Linked DNA regions of Nothobranchius furzeri. The protein of the gene in region 2 purifies or fractionates together with the protein of the main gene of each other region. This does not show direct contact. Links are inferred from orthologs where the notes say so. Each region holds a gene or a part of one and is shown on either strand. Other genes may lie near its edges.

Region 1 (4,786 bases), on a different chromosome or scaffold from region 2:
CCAGTCTGTTGGGGGAAGCTAGAAGAGGAGGTAATCGTCTCATTCCCCGCCGAGCCGAAAGCCCTGTCCCCAGCTGTGGCCTCCTCCTCGCTCCTGGGCAGCAGGCCTCCGTCCCGGAACAGCTCCAAAGCCTGACACTTCTCTGTGATTGGGGAAGAACCGATGCCTGCACATGGGAGGGAGGTGCTCAGTAAAAATATAATTCAAGGTAATCTGGAGGAACAAATCCATGAATCCAATTCAGAAAGCGAAGGTAAAAAGCACAGCTTCAGTAAGAACGGAGTAATCACACCAGCTGTGATGATTTATATCAAAAGTGGAAGTTTTTCCTTCTAAGTCTTACAAGAACTCTGGTGTGGAGAGGAAGGAGCGTCCTCCCAGATCCATGGGATACTTGTACATCAGGAAGAAGTAAAGGTGGCCCACCAGGTTCCCCGTCAGCTCGTTCACAAATCTGCATAAAATGGAGGGTCAAAGGTCACAGGAGCACCATAACAGCAAGCTGCTTGATAATCATAACAGAATTCAGTTAGAAATGAGACTTACGAGCCTCCGATGATAAAGTTGAAGGCCAAGATGACCCACGGTAGATAATGAGCCTAGAACAGAGCACACCCCTCGTCAGTAGGTGTAGATATCTGCTGCTGCTTAGCAACCACAATTGTGAGCTACTGTGTGAATTTTGAAGCAACGGCCAGACAATGATTAACTGATTAACATCTAAAAGTTTAATTTCTCAGCATAAGGAGAAGTGTTGATCTGTGGTGTTTGAGGCAGCAGGTGATTCCTGTAGGGAATGCCAGGTCTTAATCCATCCCCTACCCCTCCCTAGTGTTTGTCCTGATGTTGCCGTTTACAGTTCTGAGGAGAATACCTTGAAACGTGTTCCGAACCAGAAGGAGACGATGGTGTTTTTGTTGAACTGAGCCCAGACGTACAGCGCGGACAGGATCAGCGGGATCATCAGCAGCTGAGAACACAGACGTTAAAGCTCTAGTTCAGCTGTAGCTTTGAGTGAAGTAGTCCATAACTCATGTTTTGGTGTAAATACAGAAGAAAACTCACATGCATGTTCATCAGCATCGCAGTTATCTACACACACACTCCAAGTCAAGGACAACACGCTGGAATCATTTGGAATTTCAGGATCAGAGCAGCTGCTCGTGGGACGGTCGCCCACTTCAATCCCCACTTCAGCTCTTAAAGGACCTAGCAGTCACATCTGCCTTCTCCACTTCAGAATAAGGGATCTGGGGCCATCACTCCTTCAATATCGTATTTATTCCTACCTCTTCCTGCAGTAAAAGCCAAATATTTTTGTGGATAAATGTTATTCTTCAATCTTATAGCTAAGAAATAGCTATGAAAAGCCTTAGGAGCTAACAATCAGGGCTGAACTCCCGACAAAGCAGCATGGAGCTAAGGTGTGGGCTGGACTGCTGGTGCTGCATGTAACCTAGATTAGGTTTCTCCACTCTGCAGGGGTAGACTGACACTGGGCCACTGGCACAGAGCCACCCTGACATTGTACACTGCTGCAGAGAGAGAAGAGGTGCAGGAAGGAGAGGAAAAAATACAGGAGGAAACGCCATACACCTCTGATTGTAAAAAGCTTACAGCTTATGGCTTAAATGGGCGCTGGTTAAAGGATACAAGAATGCAGATCCAGTTAAAGAGCAGCATAAAAACATAGTCTGCAGGTCTGCCATTAAACTCAGCTGAAAAACACAAAAAACATCAGATGCAGAGAACATTTAAACTACAGAGAGGAGTAGTCACAGGATGGCAGCGGTCTTACATGTCTCCAGCCGAGTGGAGTAATGGTACAAAAAATAAAGGTTGACCAAATAAAGGAATCCGGTTTGAGGGGTGATGGGAAAATAAAAGGTGGCAGTGACTGGCCTCCAGAGCTGAAACAAATAAAAACAAGCATTAATCCTCAAAATACTATGTGATATTGACACAGTCAGCACCCCGTAGATTACAAATAAGGATAATTAAAGGGTGAAGATCTTTACATAAAGCAGGATCAACACAAACATTTTAGCCGAAGGTCTATTTGCCTATTAATGGAATTTGCATTTTAATTTAAGGTGTTAAATTCGTTTAATGAGTTATGTGATCTCCTGTATAATAATAAACAAGCACGTGCAGTTAGCGTTTCAAATAAAGTATTTTTAACTGAATTGAAATCCTGCGCCTAAAATCCGACATTCTTTCCTGTATCTGATATTGAAGCTCCAGCAGCCAGAGACAATGCCCAACACGCTTCGTCACTACTCAAGACATTGTCGCCGCCTTGTGGACGCCGTGAGAACAGCATACTAAAAACAAAATAGCTGTCCTTTATCAAATCATCTAACGCTGGTATTTTGTCACATTAAAACTCCGTGTTTTTTTTTGTTTGTTTTTTCTTTTTTTGGTGACATTTCAGAACATCTTTCTGAACCTAGTATTTATGTAATAACACCCGAATAACACGCACTGAGTTTTATAGACAGCATCCGGAAAACAGATCCTGCCATGTCGGGATTCAGGCCTGTCATGGTTAGCCACCTGCTAGCTAACCGAATACATAAACAGAGAGTAAAAAATGATAACTGATCCTTTTGCCGACACGGATGAACAAATCACTGAAGTGCGTACCTGAAATTTGTTAAAGACGAGCTCCGGAATAAGCACAAGGTTGCTATGATAAACCAATCCTAGTCTTCCTATCAAAGGAAAAGCAATGGAAGCAGCGAACCACCACCGGGTGATTAAAGGGATGCTTCTGAACCAGTTCCCGATGTCCGACATCTTCTCAAAAGTCTTCTGCTAACCTACAAGTCCGAAATGTAAAAAAAAAGTCACTTTGAAAAGAACCCAGGACCTCTTAAAACTACAAGTCTTTAGTCTTGAACGATTAGCTCGTCCACTGCTAAGTTTACGTGACGTGGCTAAGGGCTAATCACAGCTTTGCATTTGCAGAGCTCACTTTCAGAACGAAAAGTTCCGGTACAGCTTTTCAAAATAAAAAGGAACTTTTTTTTAAAGGCCGAGATTCAGAAAGCCTGTGAAACTAGATAGTAAAAGAAAAACAGATGATATAAAAAAAAGTTAGAAAAATACAGTATATCCTTTATTCTGGTTCAATTCACAGAATTGGGTAAGATGCAACGAAATGGGCACAATGTGACATGCTAAATACTGAATACACAAACGTGAACAAACATTTTTTAAATGTATCAATTTCAATAAAAAAAGGACACAACAATAAAATGAAACAAAATAAAATTTCTTTAAATGTGTACAAAAATACTGGTATTTTTTAAATTGTCTTTTTAGAACACGATTTTCAAAAATTCTTCTTTTTTACCTTTTGCGTAAGTCAAGATTCAAACAATAACTTTTCATTGGAATACAATTGATGCAGAACATAGTTTTTGCTAAACCATATGCATTATCTCATTAACTTATATCATCAGTAATTTATTTCATTTTGAACAGCAGCGCTCTTATTTTGAAGGACAGAATGAGAACCGGATATACCGTAATTATCTAAGGAGACTTTCTAGATGTTTTCAAATCATTTCCTGTTAAATTTGCAAAGCAGATTCTAAACCACTCAGAAGAAGCCAACAAAGTAAAGGGGCGTGTCTTGTTCAGGAGCTTACATGCACCTTTTGAAAGTGATGCGTTCACACCTTTGGAAATAAAAAAAAATCACATTACAATTTTTTTTGTTAAGTACTGGTGACTTTTTATGCTGTGGCAATTTGTCTGATAGCATAGCCTTGCATTGATGTGGTTTGTTTGTTTGTTTTTATTTTTTGTTGATTATTGTACTTTTTCTGTCCTGTTTCGATGGAACAGATCCAGTAGCCAGGAATGAGTGATGGATCTGCTTTATCTGCTGGTGTTTATTTGATTTGCATGTTTCATGCTAATCTGAAAATTAGACTCTGGAACATAATGCCCTCATGACCCATCCCCAGATAGGCAGAAGAAAATGAATGAATGGATGGACAATAAATTATCAGCATTTTAAGCAAGAGTAGGAAGATGTTATCCTGGAGAAGATTCGTCTAGCGTAACCTGTTTTATATGTTAGAATGTATCATAATGATTAAAATGATAATTTAATGTTTTTCGGTTGTATTTATTGCATTATGCTTGAAATTGTGCTTGCCCATAGTGTGGTGGATGAACACAAACCTGAAGAGGACAGATGTTCAGACAGATGCAAATAAACCCAGAAACCATCCTTCCTTAGTTAAGTCTAAGGAATTTCATTGAATTTAAATTATAAAAATGCTTCTGTGGCACTTTTAAATCTTGAACCTACAGACACCAAATTATCATCAGTCTTAAAAAAAATAAGTATTTGGCAGCCACTAAATGCAGGAATAGTGCTGGAAGCAGACTGCAGCGCCAGGTTTGTCAGCTCAATTTTTTTTGTCCCAACAGAGCGAACAGCCAGGCTAAAGCTGCAAGTGGAATATTCTGGCCACAGAGGGCGATAGGGGCTGGATGGCCTTTCAATAATCCTGCAAAGAGTCATTTTAGCACTTACTGGCTCAAGAAAATGATTTAAAAAAATGAAAAATGTTGCAAAGTATGCCTTTAAATGTCATACCCAGATAAGATCAGTAGGTAAATCCACTTTTTTTCAGTTGAGGAAACTGCTGAAAGTCAAATCCATTCTGTCAGCGGCGCATCAGTTTGAAACTTTGGTCCATGCCTTTATCATCACTCAGGACCGTTGTATATAGGGGTCATTGCTTACTCCATTGCCCATCTCCAG
Region 2 (4,785 bases):
GTAGTTGGAGCCAGAGAGAGTCCAAGTTCTGCAGGTGGAGGAGGTCGAGGAGGGCAGAGTGACGGGGTCAGTCCAGGAGAGGGAGCCAGGCAGGGTGGCAGAGGAATATGGGCTCGACACACGGGAGGCGACAAACGACCGCGATCAGCGAAATTTGTCACCGTCTCTTTTATTACCTGTCACACGGGAGGCAATCCGCGGCAGCGGCCAGCGGCAAAGCCATCTACGCGTTCTGTTCCATTGCGAAATCGAATCTTCCGTTTTGTTTGGCTGGGTTGGAAGGAATTAAGGTTATTTAAGCGGTTCAGAGTTAATAAAGCGGTAGATATGATGTTTCACAAGGTGCTGCTAGAGTTATGTGAAGACTTACTTCCGATTTTACTATATAAAAAATAATAATAATCAACTTGTCCTCCATGTTTGCTCGGAGATGTACGGAGCATCCTGTCCGCTCATTGGTCAGTGAATGAAACCTCCGTTGATTGGTCCTCGCCCGAGCGACAGCGATGAAAAGTTGAAAATGTTTCAACTTTCTTGGATCGCATCGCTGGGTCGTCTGTGCACGACACGTGCACGAGTGCAAATTTTCACACGCACGTTTTTCGCGTTTCGCTTGGTAGGAGAGAGACTCGCGATTATCGCTTTGTCGCGTATGTCTCATTGAAAATGAATGGAGGAGAGGCGATGTCGCCTCCCGTGTGTCGAGCCCATAAGAGGAGAGGCGAACCGCGAAGTCCAGGAAGGTATGGTTCTTTCCAGGTGAGTAATCCAGTAAGGTTCTGCTTCTTGGATAGAGGATAATATCCAACAAACCCAGAGCGTCAGGGAAGATTGTCCAGTAATCCTGGAGAGAGGATACAAAACTTGAGTCCAAAAATCCAACACAAGAGTCCAAGAATAATCCAAGAAATTCTCCAAGCCAATTATCTACTTAAAAACCAAGCAACCTAGAACGAGTGGCCAAAATACTACCATGAGTAGTTAATCATCCAGCACTGTGTAGTGGTTCCCTCTCCTCTTAAATAGAGCTCTGCTGCGGATGACCTGAGAAGCTGCAGCTGCCACTGATTGCTAATACCCTGCAGCTGGTGAGCTCCCTCTCCTGAAATGAAGAGCTCAAAGATGTTATAGAGATGAGGAGTACTCACCCCACCACACAACAGTAATACCACATATAGGAGTAGTAGTTAGGGAAAGAACTCCAGATCATTTATCTGTGTACACAGTGGAGATGATAGCTATCTTATTTAGTCTTCAATGGATGGAACAAAATAGAATTAAAAAAGGAATTATATGTACTGATTTGTTATCTGTATTAGTGTCAGTTAAATGTATGTCTACCAAGAGTCGAATAGCTTTATTATATGAGATTATGAGACCATATTTAGATTAAGGAAATTGGGTGCGGAAGTTAAATTTTTATGGGTACCAGCACATAAAGGAGTAGAAGGAAATGCATATAGTGCCGCTGAAATTAAATCTATCATTAAAGCACATATAATGGACGAGTGGCAAAGAATGTGGGAAAGGCGACAGAAAGGAAGACATTTGTTTCAGATACAAGGGAAAGTAGGAAAATGGAAAAATATAAGAATGAATAGTAGAGATGAAAGAATAATATCAAGATTAAGAATGGGACATACTGGGCTTAATAATACGATGCATCTGATAAGGGAAACATCCCACAGGTTTGTGTGGATGTGGGGTGGGGGGAGAAACAGTGGAACATGTTTTAAGTGACTGCATAAAATATGAGGAAAGTAGAGGACAACTCAGGGAGAAACTAAAAAACATAGGAGGTGGAGTGATAAATGTAAAAAATTTGTTAAATGGTGAAGGAAGGAAATATAAGTTGGTTATTGAGTTTCTAAAACACAGTGGTCTGTTGAATAGAATTATTTTTTTTATTTTTATTTTTACGTTCTTACTCCGACTCACACTCCAGCACAGTAGGTGGCGGAAATGCACCTAGCAGTCAGATGCCACCCGCCAGAAAACACGAAGAAGAAGAAGATCTCGCGATAAGTGTGCAGAAGCGGCTGTGACAGAGGAAGCTTCCAGAAGTCCGTAGCTTCCTAAGTTTTGGTCCGCTCGTCGTGCTGGGCTCAGCGATGGACAGTGTGCGTGACTCATCTGGTCAAAACCGTCCCCCGGAGAACCAGGACCTGCCTTTTCTGAGCATCTTAGGTAGGTGACGTGTCGGAACCAGTCTGTCGCGAGAACGGGCGTCGCAGAAAATGGCTAGAAGCTACTTTAAGTCATACTCGCACTATTAACTCGGGTTTCTTCCGCGTGATTCATGAAAACGAGTTGTTGTTGGAGATGAATTAAAGAATTTAGGTTTGTCACTTTATGTTCGGATGTGTTTGTTACGAATGAAGAAGGCGTGTCTTGATTTTTTCTTCCTCCTAGTTTCTAAGCACGGCTCACATTCCTGCTTCAACCAACATCCCAACAGTTTTTTTATTATGAAATTATGACAATACAGCGTAAACAAACCTTTAGTAATAAAATTTATGTATAAAGGATAAGAACTTATCAGTCATCAAATAGAGAAAAAGTACAAAGTGTATCAGACCATGTCAATGAACAGAAGGAAAAGGGAAGGAGAAATTGATAACAAGAACACATTTAAGTATTGTTACGTATTTGTAAACTTTAACATTATTCATAAAGCAGTTTCAAAAGGTCAAATAGGATATGTGTTTTGTCTAATTTGCAATGTTTTAATGATTCTTTCAAAAGAAGTACTTCGTTTTTTAAAGCAGCGAGAGGTTTTCAAGTAACGGCACTTATGGATAAACTATTTAGCCAATATAATCAAATTGTTAATCCCAAATTGTAAAGTTTTATTAACTGTTTGTAAACCAAATCAAATAGTTTAAAATGTTAACAGGGGGAAGTGTATATATATATATTTGCATTATCCAGTGCTGAAAAGCTAACAAAAACATTAGTATTATCCATCACACCAATGGAAAAGGTGCTCTGCTGTTTCAACATCATTAGTGCAGAAAGACGCATGCATTTATGTCGATGTTGAACTTCTTGTGTAAACAATCATTTGATGGATAAATGGCATGCAAAATTTAGGAGTGGTTTTCTTTTGCTTTAGGTGGAATTGGGAAGGAAATGTATTGAATCAAAAAGCTGGAATTAGAGCCTCTAAGTAGGTGTTTTCGTTTGAGTTGTGATGGAAAATATTGTTTGGTGAGAGTCGTTCTTAAAAATATGTTGTTACATGCCTTTCCCTTAAAAGGACATCCTTCAGTTATTAAAGATGGCTCTCTAAGGATACAATTGGAATAAGCTAGGCTGGCTTTAGCCATCTGAATCACTGGTGGGGGAATGGCTTTCATAAGCTTGGCGAGTTTTTGTCTAGAACAAATAATGTCATATCTTTCAGTGAAATCATTGTATGATGAAGGATTCCCATCACCATCTAATAGATAGTAAACTGTCCAAACTCCACGATCCATCCAATCCTGATAGAAAACAGATTTTCTATGAATTAAGATGCTCCTATTATTCCAGATTGATGTTGTGTGAGGGGAACAATTGTGCTGATATATCAGCTTCCAGTACTGAAGGGCCTGTTCATGAAAATTTGATAGATTGACTGGTAATTTTGATATTTCAAAGTCACACTTAAGGAGAAATTCAACACCTCCAATGTTTGCAAATATCACTTTGGGGAGAAAAAAACCAAATTAGGGTTGTCACGGTATGAAAATTTAACCTCACGGTTATTGTGACCAAAATTATCACGGTTTTCGGTATTATCGCAGTATTTTTTAAACGGTGTTGCATATGTTCAGAAAGCATTGATAGTCCTGTTCTACACAAACTGAAATAGTTCTGAAAAGGTTTAACAGTGTTTATTAAACCTAAAATAACACAAAGCCTTAGCAAAAGTGCAACTTTTCACAAGTAAAGGAACAAATAGCTTCTTTTTCTGGAACATGTTACAGTAGTCAGTGCAGGTTTAAATTATACAAATCCAAACATTCAAAACATAAACAATATGTAAACAAATCAAAGAAACACCACTTGTTTTCTCATATACTTGTTTTCTTCATTATCAAAATGAAAATCTAAAACTCCAGTCCACACTTGACTTGAGCACTGTACAAGTCAACCTTAAAAAATATGTATTTAAAATAAATAGCCACTTTAAACAAATTACTAAAATAACTACTACACTATGTAATCAAATCCAAATGTTCAAGTATAAATGGCATTGAATAAGTAAACAAATCAATGACAAGGAACTAATTGTATATTTCTCTTCATCATCAACAAATGAGATGCTTCATCCAGCAACAGGGTGTCCGTGACACGGTTTAAATGCTGGCAGAGGGCGCTGCGGCTGCAGTATATGGTGACTCGTTGCATTCTCCCTCAGCCAAAAGTCCTCACATCATGCATTTAAGCTAAAATGCTAATGTTAACTTACCTTGCACTGGCTGTAGAGACGTGGGCGATGGTCACGCAGATGTGCCATTAGATTCGAAGTGTTGCTGCCTTTTGCAGACACCTGCTTCTGCACGTTCCGCAAACGGGATAGCCGTCTTCTATTAACTGTCCCTCAGCATTTTTCAGAAATCCAAAATATGCCCATACTTCCGATTTAGTCTTCTTTGAGGGCTGATGGATGTCCTGGGCGCTGCCGTCTCCTCCTTCGGCCATTATTTCAGCTTCAAAGTTTTGGTGCCGTCGCAAACTAAAAAGTGCGTGTGCGCGCCGCGGGAACTTCAGCTGAAGCGACGGTGGCTGGTAAGGGTC

The links.
Region 1: the proteins of selenos (region 2) and derl1 purify together in Homo sapiens (affinity purification with western blotting; 6 studies listed by BioGRID and IntAct, with this or other methods). This does not show direct contact. The link is inferred for Nothobranchius furzeri from reciprocal best matches to the Homo sapiens genes SELENOS and DERL1.

Annotation. Positions count from the first base shown.
Region 1 is NC_091745.1:56,656,237-56,661,022, forward strand, and holds the start of derl1 (derlin-1), read right to left. Parts: upstream 2,955-4,786; 5' UTR 2,800-2,954; coding exon 2,647-2,799; intron 1,911-2,646; coding exon 1,799-1,910; intron 1,719-1,798; coding exon 1,654-1,718; intron 1,093-1,653; coding exon 1,066-1,092; intron 971-1,065; coding exon 875-970; intron 600-874; coding exon 547-599; intron 455-546; coding exon 344-454; intron 167-343; coding exon 40-166; 3' UTR 1-39. UniProt on the Homo sapiens protein: Functional component of endoplasmic reticulum-associated degradation (ERAD) for misfolded lumenal proteins. Forms homotetramers which encircle a large channel traversing the endoplasmic reticulum (ER) membrane.
Region 2 is NC_091749.1:6,253,358-6,258,142, forward strand, and holds the start of selenos (selenoprotein S), read left to right. Parts: upstream 1-1,814; 5' UTR 1,815-2,111; coding exon 2,112-2,187; intron 2,188-4,785. UniProt on the Homo sapiens protein: Involved in the degradation process of misfolded endoplasmic reticulum (ER) luminal proteins. Participates in the transfer of misfolded proteins from the ER to the cytosol, where they are destroyed by the proteasome in a ubiquitin-dependent manner.